Linked DNA regions of Astyanax mexicanus. The protein of the gene in region 1 purifies or fractionates together with the protein of each later gene. This does not show direct contact. Links are inferred from orthologs where the notes say so. Each region holds a gene or a part of one and is shown in the gene's direction. Other genes may lie near its edges.

Evidence for each region.
Region 2: the proteins of dnmt1 (region 1) and mta2 purify together in Homo sapiens (affinity purification with western blotting; 3 studies listed by BioGRID and IntAct, with this or other methods). This does not show direct contact. The link is inferred for Astyanax mexicanus from reciprocal best matches to the Homo sapiens genes DNMT1 and MTA2.
Region 3: the proteins of dnmt1 (region 1) and sirt1 purify together in Homo sapiens (affinity purification with western blotting; 3 studies listed by BioGRID and IntAct, with this or other methods). This does not show direct contact. The link is inferred for Astyanax mexicanus from reciprocal best matches to the Homo sapiens genes DNMT1 and SIRT1.

The regions. Positions count from the first base shown.
Region 1 is NC_064410.1:3,869,022-3,876,096, forward strand, and holds the start of dnmt1 (DNA (cytosine-5)-methyltransferase 1), read left to right. Parts: upstream 1-4,056; 5' UTR 4,057-4,241; coding exon 4,242-4,288; intron 4,289-7,075. UniProt on the Homo sapiens protein: Methylates CpG residues. Preferentially methylates hemimethylated DNA. Associates with DNA replication sites in S phase maintaining the methylation pattern in the newly synthesized strand, that is essential for epigenetic inheritance.
Region 2 is NC_064415.1:31,199,316-31,206,393, forward strand, and holds the start of mta2 (metastasis-associated protein MTA2), read left to right. Parts: upstream 1-4,059; 5' UTR 4,060-4,472; coding exon 4,473-4,500; intron 4,501-7,078. Other genes in the region: eml3 (echinoderm microtubule-associated protein-like 3), read left to right, coding at 353-483, 1,703-1,933. UniProt on the Homo sapiens protein: May function as a transcriptional coregulator. Acts as a component of the histone deacetylase NuRD complex which participates in the remodeling of chromatin.
Region 3 is NC_064414.1:2,518,691-2,525,931, forward strand, and holds the start of sirt1 (NAD-dependent protein deacetylase sirtuin-1), read left to right. Parts: upstream 1-4,222; 5' UTR 4,223-4,319; coding exon 4,320-4,659; intron 4,660-5,883; coding exon 5,884-6,003; intron 6,004-6,127; coding exon 6,128-6,366; intron 6,367-7,090; coding exon 7,091-7,241. Other genes in the region: dnajc12 (dnaJ homolog subfamily C member 12), read right to left, coding at 672-757, 1,103-1,232, 1,472-1,611, 1,862-1,940, 2,631-2,708. UniProt on the Homo sapiens protein: NAD-dependent protein deacetylase that links transcriptional regulation directly to intracellular energetics and participates in the coordination of several separated cellular functions such as cell cycle, response to DNA damage, metabolism, apoptosis and autophagy.

The DNA.
Region 1 (7,075 bases):
ATTATTGTGAGGGGACAGTAATAAAAGTATAGTGTGGTTTGTGGTATGCCAGACTAAAAAACACCTGTCTCTACGGCAATGTTTAGAAAGTAGTTTGCAAATTTGGACTGCATATCAAAATAAATCAACCCCAATGTCTCTCACTCTCACACACACACACACACACACTCTCTCTCTCTCTCTCTCTCTCTCACACACACACACACACACACTGCCACAGCTGCTGCTCTAAGATATTAATATAAAAGCATCAAAACTACCCGAGATATTTTAACAAATAAAAAATAAGGCTCTATTCCGATAGGCCTACACCACACCACACTACACTATTAATTTTGTCTCCTCCCAACAATAAAGGATTTTATGATTAATCACAGACTTTTTTGTGATTTATATACATTTTTTATTTAATTTTAATATTAAATGCTTCAGACTTAATCACAAAAACATTGCTTTGATTAATCAGATTTTTTTTCGTAGATTGACACCAGTAAATTTGATGCATTATCAGGTATCTTTAATTTGCCTTTAGATATTGTGACATAATACTTTTATTTTATTACCCAGCTCTATTTTATCCTATTGTATTGTATTGTATATCAACATATGAGTCTTTAGTTAAATCACCCAGCTCTATTTCATCATATTGTATCGTATCGTATATCAACATATGAGTTTTTAGCTAAATCACCCAGCTCTATTTCATCATATTGTATATCGATATTTGAGTTTTTAGTCATATTACCCTGCTCTGTCTGGTATCAAGAAAGCTATTGTTATGCCCCAACCCGAGGGAACTTCCTCTGCCTAATTTAAAAGACAGCTTACCTGGAAAAACCAAATAGGCAGAGTGAAGCAAAACATGCACCGACACAGCAAAGAACAGACTCGCTAGGACATGACCAGATTTGAAAAGTGGTGCGGCCTACAACCATTAGCTCAGATTGTTGACAGGGCAGTGTTGCTTTGCCAGTTGCAAGGGCATGTGGGAGTGTTGTGGAGCAACAGTGTGGGGGTGATATGAGGTAAGAGGAGGATGAGAGCCAATGGGAAGGGAACAGCATCATGGGAAGGCCTTGTTTCTCTTTCTGACCTCTGGACGCCAGACCTCAGGAGGAGTTCTTGGCTCAGGAGGAGCGTCCGGGCCTCGGAGGAGTGAGGGTGAGTAAGCTTCTGAGGACGGTCTGGTCTGGTTGCTGTCAGACGTCCAGAATTCCTGGGTGGGAACATGCACCAGGGCCCTGGGAGACCATACCGCTGGAAGCACAGCCAACAGCTGTCAGCAGGAAGTGACATCAGGCCTGATAAACCACAGAAGAACAGCTGCAAACTCATGTAGCTGTAAGCTGGCAGTCTAGATCTTTTACATCTCTTTTTACTCTCCCATAACCTCCTGCCCCACCCAACTGCACACATGTGTCTGCAGCAGGCCCTGCTAAAACTCCTCTCAAACAGTGCCATCTCGTGGTCAGCATGATGGACAGATGTTGGGAGACAGAAGAGATAGAAGACTGGGGAGTTCGGCAAAATGAGTCTACAGTTCCCTCTGCTGGACTGGCTGAATAGTGTATAATACAATTGCTGGCAGATCTTTAAACCAGCATGGTTGCAACAATACAAGCAAACTAATCAATTGCCAAGGGCCAAAGCTGGCCTGGAGTCCCCAGACAATGACGGCTTATGAATTAAATGCAACGACAAACTATTTAAACCCTTTAAAGTATGTGATGATCAATGCCGGAAAGTACAATGACACTGTTATTAGAAATCCCCTCCCACTTGTGGCTGACAGTAGCCTATCAGCCAGGTTAGTCATTCCTGCAGCCGGCAACCTCAGCAGTCATAAATCCAGAAAAGAAAGTATCTCTAAAGCAAGACTTTTACTTCAACTTTTACTTTAAATTTTACCTCAGGTGTCTCTAGTCTAAAGTTTGGAAATTGGATTTAAATCCAATTGTTTTTATTATTTTAAAATGTTCCGCATTATAGATTAACACTAAAATCCTCAAAACTATGAAGAAAAACATAAAAATTAGTTCACAGCTAACAGCTGTCCCTTGTCAAGTGTTAATAACTAACTGTTAATATTTTCTTGCTCTATTAATGTGTTCGAGAGCATCAGTTGTAAAGTTGTGAGCAATCTTCTAATCCATTTTACGTCAAGAACTACTCAACTAAGTAAAGAAATATAGTACTTTAAGAAATGAAGGTCAGTTAATCAAAAAAAGGAAAGAAACTGGCACTCATCTGGACCACACCAGTAAAAGAAAGAGCACGAATTGCCTCTGTTTTACAGGATTAGCTTTCCTAAATGCTTCTTCACAGAGGATTTTGGTTTGTTTAACACTTATTTTAAGTTATTACATGATTCCTTATGTGTTCCTTCATAGTTTGAATGACTTTTGAGTTTGAAGTACTAATTTGTAATTTGTAATATATATATATATATATATATTCAGTTCAGATATCAGGCAGATATGCCTTCCTGCCTTTAAACCATACAGACAGCATTTCCACACTTCAGACACACACACACACACAGAGATCTACAGTCCAGCTGCAGGATGCAGTATTCAGCAGGGAGAATCTCCCGCCTTTGTTGAGATTCAAGTCATGTAGGACCAGAGCTGGTTTATGAAGAGACTACACACTTTCTGTTTCTCTTTTAAATCAGAAAATTACTTTACACCGCTAGAGGGAGCCCGCGAGGGAGTCTTCAATGAATGGGATAAATGGAGCTAAACGGCTTCTAAACACAAATTAACAATAGTAACTTCTAGTCCAGGATATTATTTTAATTTTAGAAAGCATAATTAAGTATTGTACTAAAACAATAAAGAAAACCTACATATACCTTTCCATTTTTCTATAATAGACTATTTTTGGACAACAAATTCGCTAGCATTACTGCTACTCTGTGCTGATTGGTTGGTGGAGAGCCGATGCTGAAGACACAGCCAGAGCTGTTTTATGGAGGTTCATAACTATACTTTTTCTAAGTACTTAGTACTTAAATGCTGTATCTGTATCTACTGAAGTATTTTTATTTTTTTCACCTACCTCCACTTTTACTTCACTACTATGATTTTAATATTATTTTTATATTAATTTTATATTATTTTTTTATCTGCTGCATCGTTGCTCGTTACAAATATAAAAATGTTAGGAATCATTTCAAACGTACATTGCAATTTGGGTGCCCAATTAATCCTACAATCTTACAATATAGAAATGTAACAGTGTAGAAATGGCTCTTCAAGAATTTAATGTCACTTTAAAATCGTTTGGTTTTCTGTTTTCATAGGACTCTTTAGTGGTCATTTTGTGTGTGTGTTTTTAAACACAAAAAAATAAAACCTCTTTAATTGTAAACCTTTGGAATTTAATCAAGCGGAAGATGAATGATCACAAGCCATCAAACCAAGCTGAATTGCTTGGCGTTTTGCACCAGGAGTGGCATAAAGTTATCCAAAAGCAGTGTGTAAGACTGGTGGAGGAGAACATGTCAAGATGCATTAAAACTGTGATTAAAAAACAGGGTTGTTATTTCGGCCATTTCTCATTTTCTGTAATTAAATGCTATAAATGACAATATTTTATAATAATATAAACTAAATAAAATAAAATAATATGTTAATTTTAGTCAAACATATACCTATAAATAGCAATATCAGAGAAACTGATAATATTTCTCAGAGCTAAATATATATAGGTATATAAAGGTATCTCAACCTGTGCACGTTTTCCATTGGGCAGTCTCTCATCTGTAGAGTTTCTCCAGTAGGACCACCTACCTTACATGAAAAACGGACGAAACCATATCGTCATGATTGATTAAGGGGTGTTTAGATTATGGATGGTTTAAGGACGGGATATCAGCGGGGGTCGTTTATCATTTTATTGTACATAAATGTAAATGTTTTATTAGTGTATTATGTGAGTTTGGTGCGTTTTATTCGCCTTTTAGTTAAGTTTAAATGTAATGGACGTATTCTCTCTATCTGCAGGCACCCTATTTTTCCTGTGGATGGTTAAGTCCGAGTCTTTCCGCGGGAAAGCGGCCCGCGCACATTCGCATCTGCTGGGAAACCTTAAAAAGCCCCAGTGTCCCCTTGCGGCGATCCGCTGCTGCTGCTCTTCCTGCTGCTGCTTGTTTTAAACATTGGCGCTTTTAATTGTTCACTGTGTTTTTGTTGTTTTTAACGTATTCGCTGTTTTATCCGCTTTTATTCTCACTTGAAATGCCTGCGAAGACCTCGCTGTCTCTGCCGGAGGATGTGAAGGAACGGTACGGTAAACCCTAACCTCACCTGGGCTTTAGTTAGTTAGTTAGTTAGCTAGCGTTACCTAACCTTGCTAACTACCTTTAATTTGCTGTACATCTATATTAAAACGTTAAAACACGCACACAGCTAACCTAGCTAGCAGCTCAACCCCCCAACAACAGACTGGAGCCTGCAGTGTAGCACAGCAGCCACAGCAGGCTCTAGTCTGTTGTTCGGGGTTTGAGCTGCTAGCTAGGTTAGCTGTGTGTGTGTGTTTTTTTAATAAAGATTAAAAGCTTAAATATCGTTAGAAACGTGGCTCTAACTACTGTTAATGAGGCGGGTTAGGTTAGCTAGCGCTGTGGCTCTCCGCCAAAGCACTGCAGCCAATTCTGTGACTGATAACTAGAGTTAGCATGCTAGGCTAAGCTAACCCGTCAGGCAGTTGTTTTGGTCTCCCCTCCGCGCGCCCGCTCGCGCTAGCTCGCTGTCACCGGGCAGCCTGAATTTGGCGCCAAATGATGGCTGCTGCTGCTGTTCCTGGCCTGACCGTGTCAAACCATATCTTATAACTAAAGTGTGTGAAAAGTATGATATGTCAGACATAAATTTATATTTTGACTGCAATTCGTTTGAATAGGGTGTTTCAGAGCTGGGAAGCTCCCAAAACATGATGCTTGTGTTCTACCTGTATTACGTTGCCCAAAGGCAGCAAGTGAAAACATTCATTTACTAAGGTTACCATGAGAATATGTAAGAATATGAATAATAAGATATAATTATTTTACATATTTCTTATACACATACAAAAAAACTATTCCTTGAGAAAAAAAAAACATGTTTAATCTCCCTCTCTGTATATACATCTCTGAAAAGTAGAAACTGTATTAGGGTTGTGTCACATGACACTAAAATAATAGCTAAATATTTAATGTTATTTTTACTCTAACAATACTCCCAGCAATATGACAAGACTCAATAAAAAATATATTTTAAGAATACTCTCCAACCAAATAATGATTTAATTTGTTGTTGCATACAATATGATGTGGCACTCTACCAACTGAAATTAAAAATACAATAATTTTATCAGATTTGTATCTGAAGTCAGTGATTCAGAATATCTTCATATATCCTGGACTGAAGTAAAGTGAATGATACTGGACAGATTATCTGTGTCTAGTAGATCTATCATGGGGAATTTAGAACAGTGTGAAACAAATCTCCTTTTTTCTATGTGCTCTGAAGAGCTAATTAGTTTATAATGTGGCATATACTTTGGGTAAAGAGATATTTGGTATAGATCTGTCCAAACTCTTTTTTTGGTACTGTACATTAGTAAACATGGGTTTGCCACTCTGTTATGGCATGTGTTGCTGTATTGTCAGTTAGCTAATACTGTTGTGTAGGGGTTTTAATTTTTCCCTGTATGTCTGAATAATCACCTGAAACTTTATTAAAATCAATTATGCATGGCCGAAGTAAAGTCTGTTTATTTATTTTGGCCAAAACATTCCCTCTGCTGTTTGATTAGCTTTAAATAATCCTTTATCCATCCCACAGTGGGAAAATTTACAATGTTCCATCAGGATAGAAGTATCAGAAAATGTAGAGACTATCTATCAATCAATTAATACAAAAAATTCAAAACAAATCGTGAGGGGAAAATTTAAGACTCGTTGTTCCCCAGTATGTGTATTTTGGTGAATGCAGTGACCAGTGATTCTGCATAAACAGATTATGCTACACATGGTGAATAGGGGTATTACACGTAGTAAGAAGTAATGGCTAAACAGGTTTTATTGCACACAGTATTAATAAATAACTAGTAATCTTCAGTTTATCAAGAGTAGTATGTTATATACTCTGACAGTGTCCTGGAGAAAGAATCTTTCTGTAACTGTCTTATTTATTTATTTTTCTTGGTTAGTTGTTTATTTTTAGTATAAACCCAGATCTTAAACTCTTAAGCTATGTGGTGGAATATTCATGTTTTGATTGTGTACAGCTGTTTAGGTAAATACAGGACAATTACTGGCTATTAGTTGAACACCCAGACTAGCCTGTTGCCTATCGTTCTCTAAAATACATAAGCTCCATGCATTTACTTATTGTTTCATTAAATTAAGCCCTCTTCTGATGTAATTTCTGATCTTCCTTTGTAGCTGTGGTCCAATCAGCAACACTGCAACTTCTGTTCCATTTGTACATTTTAGCAGTAGTGACACCTGAGTGACATGTACTGTAGTTAACATTTAAGGTTCTACAGTGCACGGTTTATTTCTTTTAGCCATGTTCAAATCATCCGTTACCTGCCTGATAACCAGTCTTACAGGGAAAACTGTTAGCAGTGATGACCGTTAATAAGGTTGATGAAGCAGACATTTTAGCAAGGGAAGCAAGAAACCAGGACCTTTCTTGGAACTATGTCCCAATTACAGATGCCTACTATACTCACTCCACAAAATAAACTGTATGAAATATCACCAATCATAAATAGAAAATGCAATATGGACTTCCTTAATAGACAAGAACAGTCAGTGATGACTAGGTGCCGAATTGGACATACTGCTCTTACCCACCGTCACCTCCTGGTTGGCGAACGGACTCCAGCCTGCCAGTTCTGTGATACTCCTCTAACAATTAAACATATCTAAGTAGACTGCCCTGCACTTTTGACCACCAGAAAGGACTTTTATAGGGTTACAAACGTGAGAGAACTGTTTGAAACTATTCCACCAGCTAAAATACTTAATTTTCTGGAAGTCCTTCATATGAAGACACTAATTTAAGACTGTGATGCTCAAGAT
Region 2 (7,078 bases), on another chromosome or scaffold:
TAGCTTCAGTGTGAACGTAGAGTGAAAAAATATATAAAAATGTGGGCAAGCATGTTAAATCCTTTTATTGTTTTTCTCTTTATATTCATAAAATGTAGTATGGTGGTAAACTTATATGTACTGTATATATGCTTTTAAAATGTACCTGCATTCTCCTCCCTCTAATAAATAATGACAGCAGGTCTCTGGTGACTGTATTATACACATGCAGTATTAATGCTTTATAAAATGTGCCTCAGGCTTGTCTGCAGGGAGTTTATTACCCAGTTGAGTCGTGTTAGAGCAGCTGAAGTCATACGTACGTACTGCATGTATTGTAATAGGGTGCTTTTCTGATGTTTTTAATGTGCAGGTGTGTGGCTGGAGGGTTCGGATGGGACCGATATCAACGCTCTGTGTCGCTCTCACAGCGAGCGAATAGTGGCAGTGGCAGATGACTTCTGCAAAGTCCACTTATTCCAGTATCCATGTCCTAAACCAAAGGTCAGTATAATGTTTACAGTATAATTTCTTTGGTATCACAAATGGAACTAAAAGTATTGGGCCCCTGTTTTTTGTGACTTAAAAATAGTTTCTCTTGCTTTCTACTAGATTTTGTAGCTTTTATGTAAGAATTTTCTTGCATTCAGTTATAAAGCGTTAGTGAGTTCAAGGAGGTGGATGATCATCACGTGCCCCCCCATGTTAATCTGCTCCAGAGCCTTAATCTATTGGTGACACTGCTCTACAGGAACTAGAGCACTGTAGAGCAGTATCTCCAATAGATAGGGCTAGAGGTGAAGTTAAGGATGGGGGGCATGTGTTGATCATCATTTGTCAGCAATGGAAGCAATGTACATGAATTCATTCTTTAAAAGGGGTGTCCACATGTGGACATGTGATTTTATCAAATAAGCTGGATTTACTTTCAGTTTACAACAGTTTACTGTGAGTTTGCATTAAATACTAAGTATACAATATTTCTTACTTATGAACACAAAAGTGATATTATTTTTAAAAATTCAGGTTTCCCATACATATACAGTATCATTCAAAAGTTTAAACACACCTTAGATTCATTCTCTAAATATTTTATGCATTATAAGTCCTACAAACTACAACTATAAGAAAAATATGTGGAATTATTGAGTAAACAAAAAGTGTTGAACAAACCAGAATATGTTTTATATTTTAGATTCTTTAGAGTAGGCACCTCTTGCTTAGATGACAGCTTTGCACATCTTGGCTGGATTTTCTCAGTCAGCTTTATGAGGTAGAGTCACCCAGAATGGCTTTAAGTTAATAGCTTTTCTGAACTAAAAAGTTCATTACTTATACTCTTAATGTGTTTGAGAACAGTTGTGTTGTGAGGAGGTAGAGTTGGTATACAATAAATAGCCATATTTGAGTAATGTTCTAGATACTTTACAGTCAATCTGAAAAATATTAAGAACTTTTAAAATAAGTATTCACTCAAGAAAAGGAAGACAAAAAGTTACCTCTGTTGCACAGATGAGTTGATCAGAGTTACCAGCCTCAGAAACTGCAAGGTACCAATACCTCAGATAAGAGTCACCTAAATGCTTCACAGAGTACAGTATTCCTTGTGTGTTCCTTCATAGTCTGGATATTTTCATGGAACATTTGACTGGTAGTGTAGTTTAGTCGTGTGGCTGTGTGAAATGTTTTCTTCTGAGACGATTCCTTCCCTTCTTTTTTTTAGGCACCAAGTCACAGGTATGAGGGCCATGGCAGTCATGTGACCAACGTACGCTTCACCCACTGCGACAGTCACCTTCTGTCACTGGGTGGGAAGGACACATGCATCCTCCAGTGGCGAGTCAAGAGGAGCGGGGCTGCAGAAAAGGAACACCCAACCTCTTCACTTCCTCCACCCACTTCCCTTAACAGTTCCTCAGAACCTGGGAAACAGAAGGAGAAAGAGATGGGATGAAGAGAGTGACAAAGAATATGTTGAAGAATATGGTATTGCACAATCTAGAGTAAATCCAGCATTAGGAAGACTGTGCTGAGAGGATGCAATGTTTATGGTGGTCTTTAACAGATTTTCATGGCCAAAAAGGAAGTCAGTGTTGCATCAACATTCACTATATCAGGTTTACATGTTACTATATTACTCCAATTTTATAGACAACAGGACAAATGATGTGTGTGTCTGTGTGTGTGTCAAACAGCTTATGTTTATGTAAAGTAAACTGATCTTATACTTTGACTTTATTAACATTACGTTACGTTTATGTTGATAATTCTGGAATGTGAAAGGCTTGTACGTGCCTTTATAGACAATCATCTCAAGATGGTCATTCCAAAGCAAGTCTTTCATTTATCACCCTTTACTCGTTGCAGTACATGTTTACATTACTGACCTGTTGCTGATTTGTAGATGTGAACTGTTTCTTCAGTTTGTTCTCTGTGCGCTGTCTGGCTATGATTTAATAAATGTGTTTGTGTGTCATCACACTATTAAACCAAAACCATCTGAGTCTGCTGTATGTATTATATATTAACTGAAATATGACTGAATGATTTTGAGAACACTGTCCTTCCTTTTCTTAGATTATCTATTCTGTAATAGACAGTAACTGTATAGAAAAATTGAAGTTGAGAACTACAAATCACAAAAAGGATCAGGAGGCGTTCGAGCGCTGCGTGAATCACACAGCGCCTTCTAGAGGACCAAGGTGAAATTGTAACAGTGCATTGTGGGCCTGCAACCAAAAGGGGGCGGTAGGAGCACAGAGATCAATTTAACCAAATTTACTGTTCACTGATTTAATAACTAAATATACAGTCTGGGAAAAAATAGAGACCATTGCTATTTATAGGTAAAATTAACATGTTGTATTATTCTATAAACTACGGACAACATTTCTTCTAAATTCCAAATGAAAATTTTGTTATTTAGAGCATTTATTTGTAGAAAATGATAAATGGCTAAAATAACAAAAAAAGATGCAGAGCTTTCAGATCTCAAATAATGCAAAGAAAACAAGTTCATATTCATAAAGATTTAAGAGTTCAGAAATCAGTATTTTGTGGAATAACCCTGTTTTTAATTACAGTTTTTATGCATCTTGGCATGTTCTCCTCCACCAGTCTTAAACACTGCTTTTGGATAACTTTATGCCACTATTGGTGAAAATTTCAAGCAGTTCAGTTTGGTTTGATGGTTTGTAATCATCCATCTTCCTCTTGATTACATTCCAGATGTTTTCAATTTGGTGAAATATATTTATATTTCTTGTATAATAAAATGGGTTTTAATGAGTTAAAATTTTTGCGGCCACAGTGACCAAAAAGAAGCTGGATATAGGCATGGATGGAAGTACAGTGGAAGTCAGTTTTTTCTTGTTGTTCATTTCAGATACAAAATATTATCTACTAAATTTAGGCTTAATTTTTTAATTAATTTTTAATTCGTCAAATTGAAATTGTGACACAATGTATAGATTCCAAATTCAATAATACATTGTAACCAGTTACAGGTATTGTAGTAAATGAGGCTTGCAGCAGTTTCAAGCCTGAAACTTCTCCATACATATTTTTTTTAGATTGCAAACTTAGCAACATATGTAAATGTGCAACATATAATACACAATTCTTCAAATATATAAAGAGAAAAAAAATAATAGTGGAAAAATAAAAACAGTAAAAGGAAAAAGAGGGGACAAGGGGGTCAAATTTATAGGATACGAATGAGATTTTTTTGTTTGCAAAAAGACTATAGAAATGTGTGAGAGCTCCAACAGATAGGGGATTATTAATGTCTAATAAAAAATATTTGTAACATATATTAAAATAAATAAAAAATAAAACAAAATTGGAAAAGGCGGGGACGTGATTCACATCTATAGTAAATCATGAAATATTTATTTTAATCTGCTTTTTTCTTCTTTAAACTGCTTTTTTTACATTTAAGTTCTTTGTAGAAGTGAAGTGATACCTCACTCGCTAGTTCTATCAGACAGCAGGCTCTCCGGTGAAGCTCGAGACCGGGCCGAGCTCTAGGTGACGTTTCGCGCTTCCGAAGATGACGTTTAAGAAAAGGGGGGAGGAGGGGTGAGCCGAGCGGAGGTGAAGAAGAGGAGGATGAAGCTGGGAGAGCAGAGGATGGGAGGAAGAGTAGAGTGAGAGAGTGAGAGAGAGAGACAGGCTGGCTAGCTAGCCGATGACTGTAGGTGCATGCCCGCGAGGCTGAGCGCGTGAGTGGCCGGTGAGGGGTAGCGGAGCGGCTGTGTCGGTACCGGACCGGAGCGGAGGCGCGTTTTACATCCGCGGATTCTCACCGAGACGGAAAGTTTGAACTTTTCTCCCGCCGCCGCCGCTCGGGCTCACCGTGCCGGCTCCCCGGCTTTGTTCCGCCAGCGCCGAGTCCGCCGATACATGCGGGACTAAAGCCGCCGCCGCTCGGCTTCAGCGCGCGCAGGAGGAGGGGAATCCCGGGGCTCGAGTTCGTGGAGGGGAGCGAGAGAATGGCGGCCAACATGTACCGAGTAGGAGGTGAGCGTTTTAATCAGCGGTTCCGCCGCCGAAACGGGGATTGTTGTGCGAGCGGGTTAGCCAGCCTGCTAACGCTAGCCGCTGCGGCTAACGGGCTGATTAATAGTCTGCTAGTCGACTCGTTAGCCTAAATGCTAACTAGCGTGCTAGCGCCTTTTCTCATTTGGTGGCGTGTTTTTTTTTATTTCCGCCTTCTTTACAAAGGCCGGCTTAGTTAGCGTTAGCTTAGCTTAGCTTTAGCTTTTCATTTATTTTTGAATGTGTTGTTTCTCAGAGTTTCTGGGAAAGCTTTTACAACTAACTTTTATACGAGTCTTCTTTCCAAAACTACAGTTTACTTAACTGTTACTTACTCTGAGAAACGCCCTTAATACTGCGAATAAAAATACGATTTTATATTGTATTACTTTTGCTAAATCCAGTGTCCATAAACAGATGTTTTAGCTTATAATTCCCCCCATGCTGCACTGTTGGAGCTATCTCGCATCCTAAATGCACAGATGCAGTTTATTATTGTTATTAAGAAGATAAAAATAAATATTTCTGATTTATCTTTCTAGCTGTAGATATGATCCCCTTTTTCCTTTTGTTTTTATTTATTTTTGTATTCCATATTTTCCTTTTGCATTAAGTTAGATTTGTGTGAAGAATAACGTTTTGCACTTTGTAACTATGATTGCATATATTGCTAAGAAGAAAAGTTATTTAACTAGCTAAGTTTAGTTAGCAGGCGAGCTAACCTATAACTAGCTATCTGTTTTAAACGGTTTACCAGAGCGTTACTCCAATATAAGAGTAAAGAGGGAAAGAGTTTTAAAGAAAAAGGTTAATAAAGTATCTTAAGTTATTTAGTTAACGTTACCTAGCGTTAGTTATTGTTAGTTAGCTTAGCTAACTAGGTTCGTTTAGTTAACCGGCGCCCTGTGGTTGTTTAGGTATTAAAGCCTAACTTATAACAGTTATTTTCGCTTGGATACAGAACAGGAACTAGATAAGTATTTACTCGTTTTTTGAGTGAGAGTTAAATTGTAAAACACCAGTTTGCAGTCCAAGTAGGCGAGTAAACTGTAACTCTGAATGCTGAAGAGCTAGAAAACTCAACACACCGTCACCGATAGTAACAGCCCGACCACAGTACTACAGTAATGCCTCACAGAGAGAAAGAGAAAGAGCGCAATCGGTCCAGGACCCCACAGCTTCTCTCCTGTCAGGCTTTATTCTTGAGCACTTTATGAACATTATGACGAGCTGCTGAACTCTCTGGGAGCAGGATTTAGGACAGAACAGCTGCTCTTTTATCTGAGCTGTACTCTGTCTGACAGCTACAGTCACATCCAGCACGCTGCTGGCTACAACTGGGCGATACTGTGATTATTTTACTGGACCGTAATACATTTTTTTATTTTCTTGACCATATGCTTTAATAGGCATATCAAAGATTTATATCTTTAGTGCCTAAAACACTGACCAAACTGTACATTTTTATGATTACAGAAAATGGTTAAAGTGTGGATGCACGATAATATCGGTATTGTATCATATCAGTTGATATATATTTTTTTTTCTTTAAGAATAGTCAGCATTAAATGTGATATAGCCAGTACTTTTAACAAGTACCATTCATTCATTTTAGTCCTGGATAGATGGAGGTATTTGAGTGCATTATTAGCATCATGACATTCTGGGTGATTGACTTCTGTTTTAAATCTGATAAAAATTCTTGCATTATTTAATATGGTGCACCCCTAACTTCATATAATAATATCATATTGAATCAAATAATACAATAAAAATATATATTTTTTGCAGTAGTGTGTTCTTGAAAAAAAAAATTTAATTCAGTGGTTTGTCATTTCGCCAAGAGTATCGTTATCGTGATAAATTTTAGGACGATATCGCCCACCCCTAATTGGTACTGCTGCAACCCTTATCACAACGCAACACAAACTGATCTAGGAGTAGTCAGCATTTTACAGGTTATCAGGTTTCATCAAGGTTCTTTCCACTGCTGGGTTTTAACACGGTTTGACTTATTGTGTTTAAATGTGTAGATGGAGCTCTAAGAGCGACTGTAAATAGGTCAGTCAGAGTGATGATGAAGATGCTGCAATTCTGTTAACCACCGTAGACTCAATCCTGCTTCTCTTGATTTGGACCTTTATCCACACAGCTCCTGTCTGATTCTGTGGAGCACTTCAGTGAGAGCATTGTTGCTCAAATTGATGGTTATTTTACTGGTGTAACAGTTAAAAAAATAGAAGAAGAATGTTTTTGAGGGGAAATTATCTGTATGGCTGATGCGCAGTTCTCATGAGGGTCTCCCCTTTGGCGTCTATAGTGTGCACCACTGTCAGTGATCAAAGAGCCGGCGGAGTGTAAAGTGGGAAGGAAGAGGGTTTGTAAAATCACCATTTTTCACACACACGCTGCTTTGCTTTAAATTGTGTATGTTTGTGATCTGTTGTGTGGACTATTTAGAGATCTGTTTGTTCAAGGCTTTTTAACACACTTCAATAATCATATTTTTGCCTAAAAACCTGAACATGTTAGTTTTTTTTATACCTATATGGACCTAGTA
Region 3 (7,241 bases), on another chromosome or scaffold:
CTTACCATGCACACAGTGTGATTTTACTCTATATAAAATTATTTTAGTGTATATGAGTATACTATATTTAATCTGAATATACTGTACATGCGTGCGCTCTATAATGTGAGTATAGTATACATTTGGTGAGTATACTGTACATAGGATGAGTATAGTGTATATAGTGTTGTGTATATGTGAAAATACTGTGTGTAGAATTAATATATTGTATACACGGCACGTATACTGTAGAGTGTGAGTATACTGTATATAGTTTGAGTATAGTGTATATAGTGTGAGTCTACTGTATAAAGCATGAGTACTGGATATAGTCTTAGTATAGTGTATAAAGCATGAGTATAACACATATACATGTGTGTATCTGGAGTAAATAAAGTACGTACCACCACAATGATAATAAACAGTTTTTGACAGTGGTTTTGTCAGTTTGTGACTGTTTTTATTCATGTTTTTTTCTTCACATTTTTTTTAACTTTTGAGAGCTTGAACATTTACAGTATAGCACACATTTCCCATAGTTATCCAACAGCTAACATAGTTTATAAATTTAACAACATACAAACACACAAAGTCTAATCTATTTAACAATAAGAAATAATCTCTGTAAGATATTAACCATTACCACAAATTACAGCAAGCAAGTCTGGAGCATGAAGAGCTTATAATTATAATCATATTTCATAATTTCTAAACTTTTGCAACAGGCTTGAGGGAGCATCACTTGCCCAGCGAAATCTGTGACACCAATAATCCTCACCTGAAAGAAAAAAAAACAGAATTAGATGGACAGATAGACCAATTTATTAAATCTTTTTTTTTACCCAATTTTCTCCAGTTTTCATGCCTGTGCTGACCAGTGATGAGGGGATTAAGCGCCACCTACCCACCCAGAGAGAGGATGGCCAATTGTATTCTCTTAGACTCCAGCTGCTGATGGACAAGCAGCATGACCCAGGATTCAAACTCACGTTTCTCCGATCATAGTGATATCGCCTTACTTTTTCGATGTTTTATTTTATTACTATTATATTAGTTTTTCGCGCAGACTTTCATAATAAAAATATATCCAGAAAGTTATTTACTGAAACAAAATAAATCTCACCAGATGTTTCCTCCTTTATGGAATCTGGACCCTCAGACTGGATGGCTCTGGTTTCGGTGCTGACTTCAGATATATCTTGTGGTGCAGCAAGCATGGGTTCCTTTTTGGTTCTTACAGCCCAGTGCACTGACTGGAGACAATTAGAGACAATAAATGATTGACAGTTATTAGCACATTCATTCAGTACATATGAAGTCAGAAGAGAGAGTGTGTTTGTGTGTCTGTTGTGTGTAATACTCTGTATATTATGTTCTGTTGTACATCATATAACATAGAATATATATTGGAGTAATTGAATATAGTTTTGTACACACACATAAATAAATGTGATTATTTGATCAGCAATATCCAGTCGATAATGTCACTCACGGTTTTTACGGAGTCCCTCAGTGCCTGCCACTCTTTAAACGGCACAGTGATCCGACTCCTCATCCAGAAATCATAACTCTTCCTTTTCGACTCGTCAGTCAGAACATCTTTAGCCTCCTGTAGTTTTTTAAACTCCTCCACTGCAAAACACACACAGTATCAGCAAGAAAATCAAATCATCTGATCAGTATGTATGAATTTATTCAGTATTATGTGCTGCATCATCCACAAGCTGGTATAGTTAATCAATGATTCAGTAAGTCAAATGCGATTGCCGCCATTTAACTCTAAAATTAAGTGTAATATGTATATTGTAATATACATGTATAGGTTCAGATTTCATACCTAAAAATGTATATGTAAAGCCATAATAAATTATAATCAGCTCACCTGCTGCGGGATTGTTGGGGTTCTTGTCAGGATGGCAGTTCAGTGCTCTCACTTTAAACTCTCTGAGAATTTGTTCAGTCTAAAAAATAAACATAAAAGTTTAGTCTGTGTTTAGTCAGTATTTGGTCAGTGTTTCGTCTGTGTTTGGTCAGTATTTGGTCAGTTATTGGTCTGTGTTTGGTCAGTGTATTGTCAGTGTTTAGTCTGTGGTCAGTGTTTAATCTGTGTTTAGTCAGTATTTGGTCAGTGTTTAGTCTGTGTTTAGTCAGTATTTGGTCAGTGTTTAGTCTGTGTTTAGTCAGTATTTGGTCAGTGTTTAGTCAGGGTTTGGTCAGTGTATGGTCAGTGTTTAGTCTGTGTTTAGTCAGTATTTGGTCAGTGTTTAGTCTGTATTTGGTCAGTGTTTAGTCAGTGTTTGGTCAGTGTATGGTCAGTGTTTAGTCAGTGTTTGATCAGTATTTGGTCAGTGTATGGTCAGTGTTTAGTCTGTGTTTGATCAGTTTTCGGTCAGTCTATGGTCAGTGTTTAGTCTGTGTTTGGTCAGTATTTGGTCTGTGTTTAGTCAGTGTATGGTCAGTTTTTAGTCTGTGTTTGGTCAGTATTTGGTCTGTGGTCTGTGTTTGGTCAGTATTTGGTCTGTGGTCAGTGTTGGGTCAGTGTTTAGTCAGTATTTGGTCAGTGTGTGGCTCTCCCAGCCGTTAACCTCCATCCCCCGCCTGGCTGGAGGCTGATACCGGGTAGAAGAGCCGGTACAGCGGGTAACTCTTACCGTAGAGAGCTCGTCGCAGCCGAGCAGCCCATAATAATCCTCCAGATCCTCCGGGTTGCAGTTCAGTATCGCCTCCATAAGAGCAGCCTTTTCCCCCGCAGCTCTCTGAACTCCGCCGTCGCGGACTCTACCGTAAATACCCTAAACCCCGCGCCCACCGGACCCGGAGTGACCGAGACAAAACTAAATGTTTTTGATTTTCATTCGTTAAAACAGCAGCACAAACATTCACAAGCTACCGGATACATCTAATCAACACTGCCAATGTAAAGTCAATGTGAAGTCAATAATAAATATTAAATAAGTTATGCATTTCTATTTGTCAAATTAATATGAAATTCTTATATAAAGAACAAGCGATTCTATTTATTAATATACTGATCACATTTTATAAAGCATATAAAATATATACATATAAACTAAATAATATAATATTATTATTATGCAATTATATTATTATTGTTATTATTATTATTATTATTATTATTATTATTTTAGTATATTAGGTTATATACTATAAATGTTAAAACACTATACAAAATACATCCCACGTATATCTTACAGCCAGCTACTATTCTCAGGACATTTATGGAATTGTTATCAAAAAAGAAACCCACAGTAACATATGTCACAGACCATTTAAAAGCTGTGTAAAGTTTCTTACTGACTGTACTGAACATCCTGAGAGCATCATCACTACAAGACAGTGTGTGAATCTGTGTTCCTTCATGTGAGTTCATTTATACAGAATAGTACAGTAGGAGTGCTGTAGGATTAGGGCTGGAGATAAAACTAAACAAGCTCAGTTTTAAAGTGTATTGTTTGAAGTAACATGATTTCTAAAACAAATGCATAACAAATGTATAAATGTTCATAATAGTTAGGAAATACTTTTTGTGTCATTTATGTTGCATTATGGTTTTAAACTTAAAATATTTAAGTCCACAATATTTATTGTGTGTCCACGGTAGGAAACAAACATGAATGGGCTGCTCACTGAATTTTTCTGATTTAATTTTGAGTTTGGTATCAATACCCAGAAATGCGTGGGTTCCTAATTATTGATGTAAATTTAACACCAATGTATTATATATTTATATTTATTTACTTTATTATTTCTTGCTTTATTGTATTTTTTATACTTTTCTCTTTATGTGGGATCATTTTCGAGAAGCAAAGAAAGAAGTTTATTGTACTTTATTGTGTTTAAGGGTGCAGATGACAATAAACTTAAAAAAAAATTGAATCTTTAAATCTATGTTAGGACATTTCTGAAATTATCAATGACTATTAATAAATTAAATTTGACTTATTCGAAATAATTAATTAAATTATCGACTATTATAGTGGGATTTGTGTAAATAATATTTGCCAGAAAAATACTATTAAATAAAATGTACAGAACACACAGTTGAAACTTGTCTGCATCAGCTGAATAATCTGTTTTATTGATTTATATCTGTATGAATCTGCTGGTTTGTGGGGTTTATTATGGGCTCTCCTGTCTTTGTTAGGGCTCCGTTGACTGACGTCATTCACGTTGTTGTAGTGGCGGAGCGGGAGTCACGTGCGCGGGTTAAATATCCCCCAGCTGTGTGTGTGTGTGTGTGTGGTGAGAGGCTCGCGAGCTCGTACGGCGCCCGTGTCCATTACATCACATCACATCAGGAACGGCGCGAGCACAGGAAGATGGCGGACGGGGAGGCTTCGTTAAAAGGAGCCGGTTCTCGTACCGGGTCCGGTTCTGGTGACTCGGAAGAGCCTGTGCTGAAGAAAGCGCGGATTAGTGTATCTAAAAGCCGCGATCCGGATCCGACCCGCGGCGAGCAGAGCGCGGGAGAGCCGGAGCTCGCTGAGGGTCGGGCGGCCGAGGATTTAACCCAGCCCGCGGATCAGGAGCCGGGGAAGGCGGGGGTTGAGGCCGCGGCGCCGGGGGAACCCGCTGACGGACTGCTGATGTCTGAGAACAGTAAACACGGTTCTAACAGCGAGCAGACTCCCGAACCCGCGGCGGAACACGAGCTCTCAGGTAACCGGATCACACCGAGGGGGTTTGGGACGATTGGCGGCTGCTCCGAGGCTAATGTTAGCGCGAGATTTGGCTACAAAATCTCGCGATGGTTCGGTGACTGAATTAGCCAGTCAGCTAACTAACTAGCTTTTCCCGTTACCCAACAGCAGCGGGAATTTAAATATAACGTTATATTAATATCCTTATTAACTAACGCTAAATCAGGATTTTATCACTTTTATTGATCTATCTGAAGAAACTAATTAAGCTAGATAGCTACCGTAGTCAGCAATAACAGAATTAACTAGTAAATTAACAAGTGAAATTGACTGTATTAGATGTAAAGTTAGCTAGGTTAACAAACTTTTTTATTATTATTTTTAATTCTTGTATATAATGCAATCCAGCATAATGAATAAACAAGATAGTATGTCAAATTCTCAGCAAATACAACCAACATCACACATATAACAAAACAAAACAAAATCACACACAAACAGAAAATAAATTTCAAATAAGACTAAAAAGCTTCAAAATATCTAGGAATTTATATGTTCTAATCCATATTATGTCAAAAATACTCAACTATGTAAAGAGAAAAAAAATGGAAGTATCCTTAAGTGCAATCATGCAAAGACCATCAAAACAACATGATGATGAAACTGGCACTCATCAGGACTGCCCCAGGAAAGGAAGAGCATAGGATCTTTTGGCTAACGCTAAATTAGGATTTTATCAGTTTTATTGATCGATCTGAAGAAACTAATTAAGCTAGAATACTACCATAGTCAGCAATAACAGAATTACTTAGTTAACGTTAATTAATCAGTAAAACTGACTGTCTTAGCTGTAAAGTTAGCTGTATAGTAAGTTAGGTTGGATAACCTAACTTACTATTATTTTTTTTATATAAAATACAATCTAACATACTGAAATAGACACAATATTAGGTCAAATTCACAGCATATACAACCAACACACATATAACAAAACAAATGAACAACAATATAACAAAACAATACGACTTTTATAACAAAACAATACGATTTTTTTTTTTTTTTTTTTTTTTTAGATCTGCAGATCTAAATTTTTGTACTAATAAATATGTTATAGCTAATATCTGAAATGAGTTTCTACCAGTAAAACAGAGTTAGCACATGTGTCATTGTTGTGCTTTAGGTTAAAAATCTTTGCCGTAAGTACATAAAGTGCTTGATATTAATGGTTCTGGTTCTTTTACAGGGGTAATCGACGGCAGTGTCCGCCCAAATGGGTTTTACTCTCCTAATATTAATGATGAAGATGATGATGACTGCTCTTCTCATGCCAGCTCCAGTGACTGGACTCCTCAGCCTCAGATTGGTATGTTCGAACTAGTGGCAAACAAGCTTTCATTTCAGTACAATTTCAGATATCTGTAAATATTCACATTAGTGCATCGCTTTTTTAAATGTTAACCTGTATGCATTGTTGTGTGATTGGACAGGTTCCTACCGTTTCATTCAGCAGCACATCATGAGAGAGACCGACCCGAGGACGATTTTGAAAGACTTACTTCCAGAAACTGTTCTTCCACCTGATCTAGACGACATGACACTGTGGCAGATTATCATTAATATTTCTGAGCCTCCTAAAAGAAAGAAACGCAAAGATATTAACACCTTGGAGGATGTCGTCAGACTGCTTAATGATGGCAAAAAGATACTTGTCCTAACTGGAGCAGGGGTGAGTTATTTAATTAGGTTTAACATCTTGATATAATCAGGTATAAATAAAAAAAAAAGTCCCTTGGTTTATTAGAAGTATTCACACTGTTCTGTAAGCTTGTTGTCCTGTTTTGTACTTAGAAGTAAGGGTAGGACTCACAGGGCCTCTCACAATACGATATTATCACAATATGCTGACCATGACAATGATGCAACCACGATATTGTGATTCTGCTACATTAGAAACTTAACAAGTCAAAAACTCATTAAAAAAAAGACAAAAATCAGGTATTACACGTTTATTGGTGTCAGTTTCACATAGTTTGACAACCAATATTCTTATTCACAGCAGCTTTACCATATTTAGCAGGTTTACCCTATTAATTTGATTAGCACCACCACAGTGATATGATGTAATGATATCAATATTTTGTCTCCCCCAACAGTTTGTATTATCCAGTCATTATTGTGCAATTTTTCACATTTGACAACAGATTTCTGGATTTTTCAAGGCCTTTTTCTAACAATTTATATGGAAATCACATTATTCCACTGATTCATTCATTAGTGCTTCAGTAAATAGTTTTGAATCTTAAGTGTCATGTCTTTTACAGAAGATTGATTTTATATAGTTAAAATCTGGTAATTAATGTGACAATATAGTAATTTGATTTTTTTATTCATTATTGTTTGGACACATTTCAGCTGTAACAGTGATTCTGTTTTTATTTCACTCTCTGCAGGTATCTGTTTCTTGTGGAATACCCGACTTCAGATCCAGAGATGGAATTTATGCTCGACTTGCTGTTGATTTTCCAGACCTTCCAGATCCTCAAGCAATGTTTGATATTGACTACTTCAGAAGGGATCCTAGGCCATTTTTTAAATTTGCAA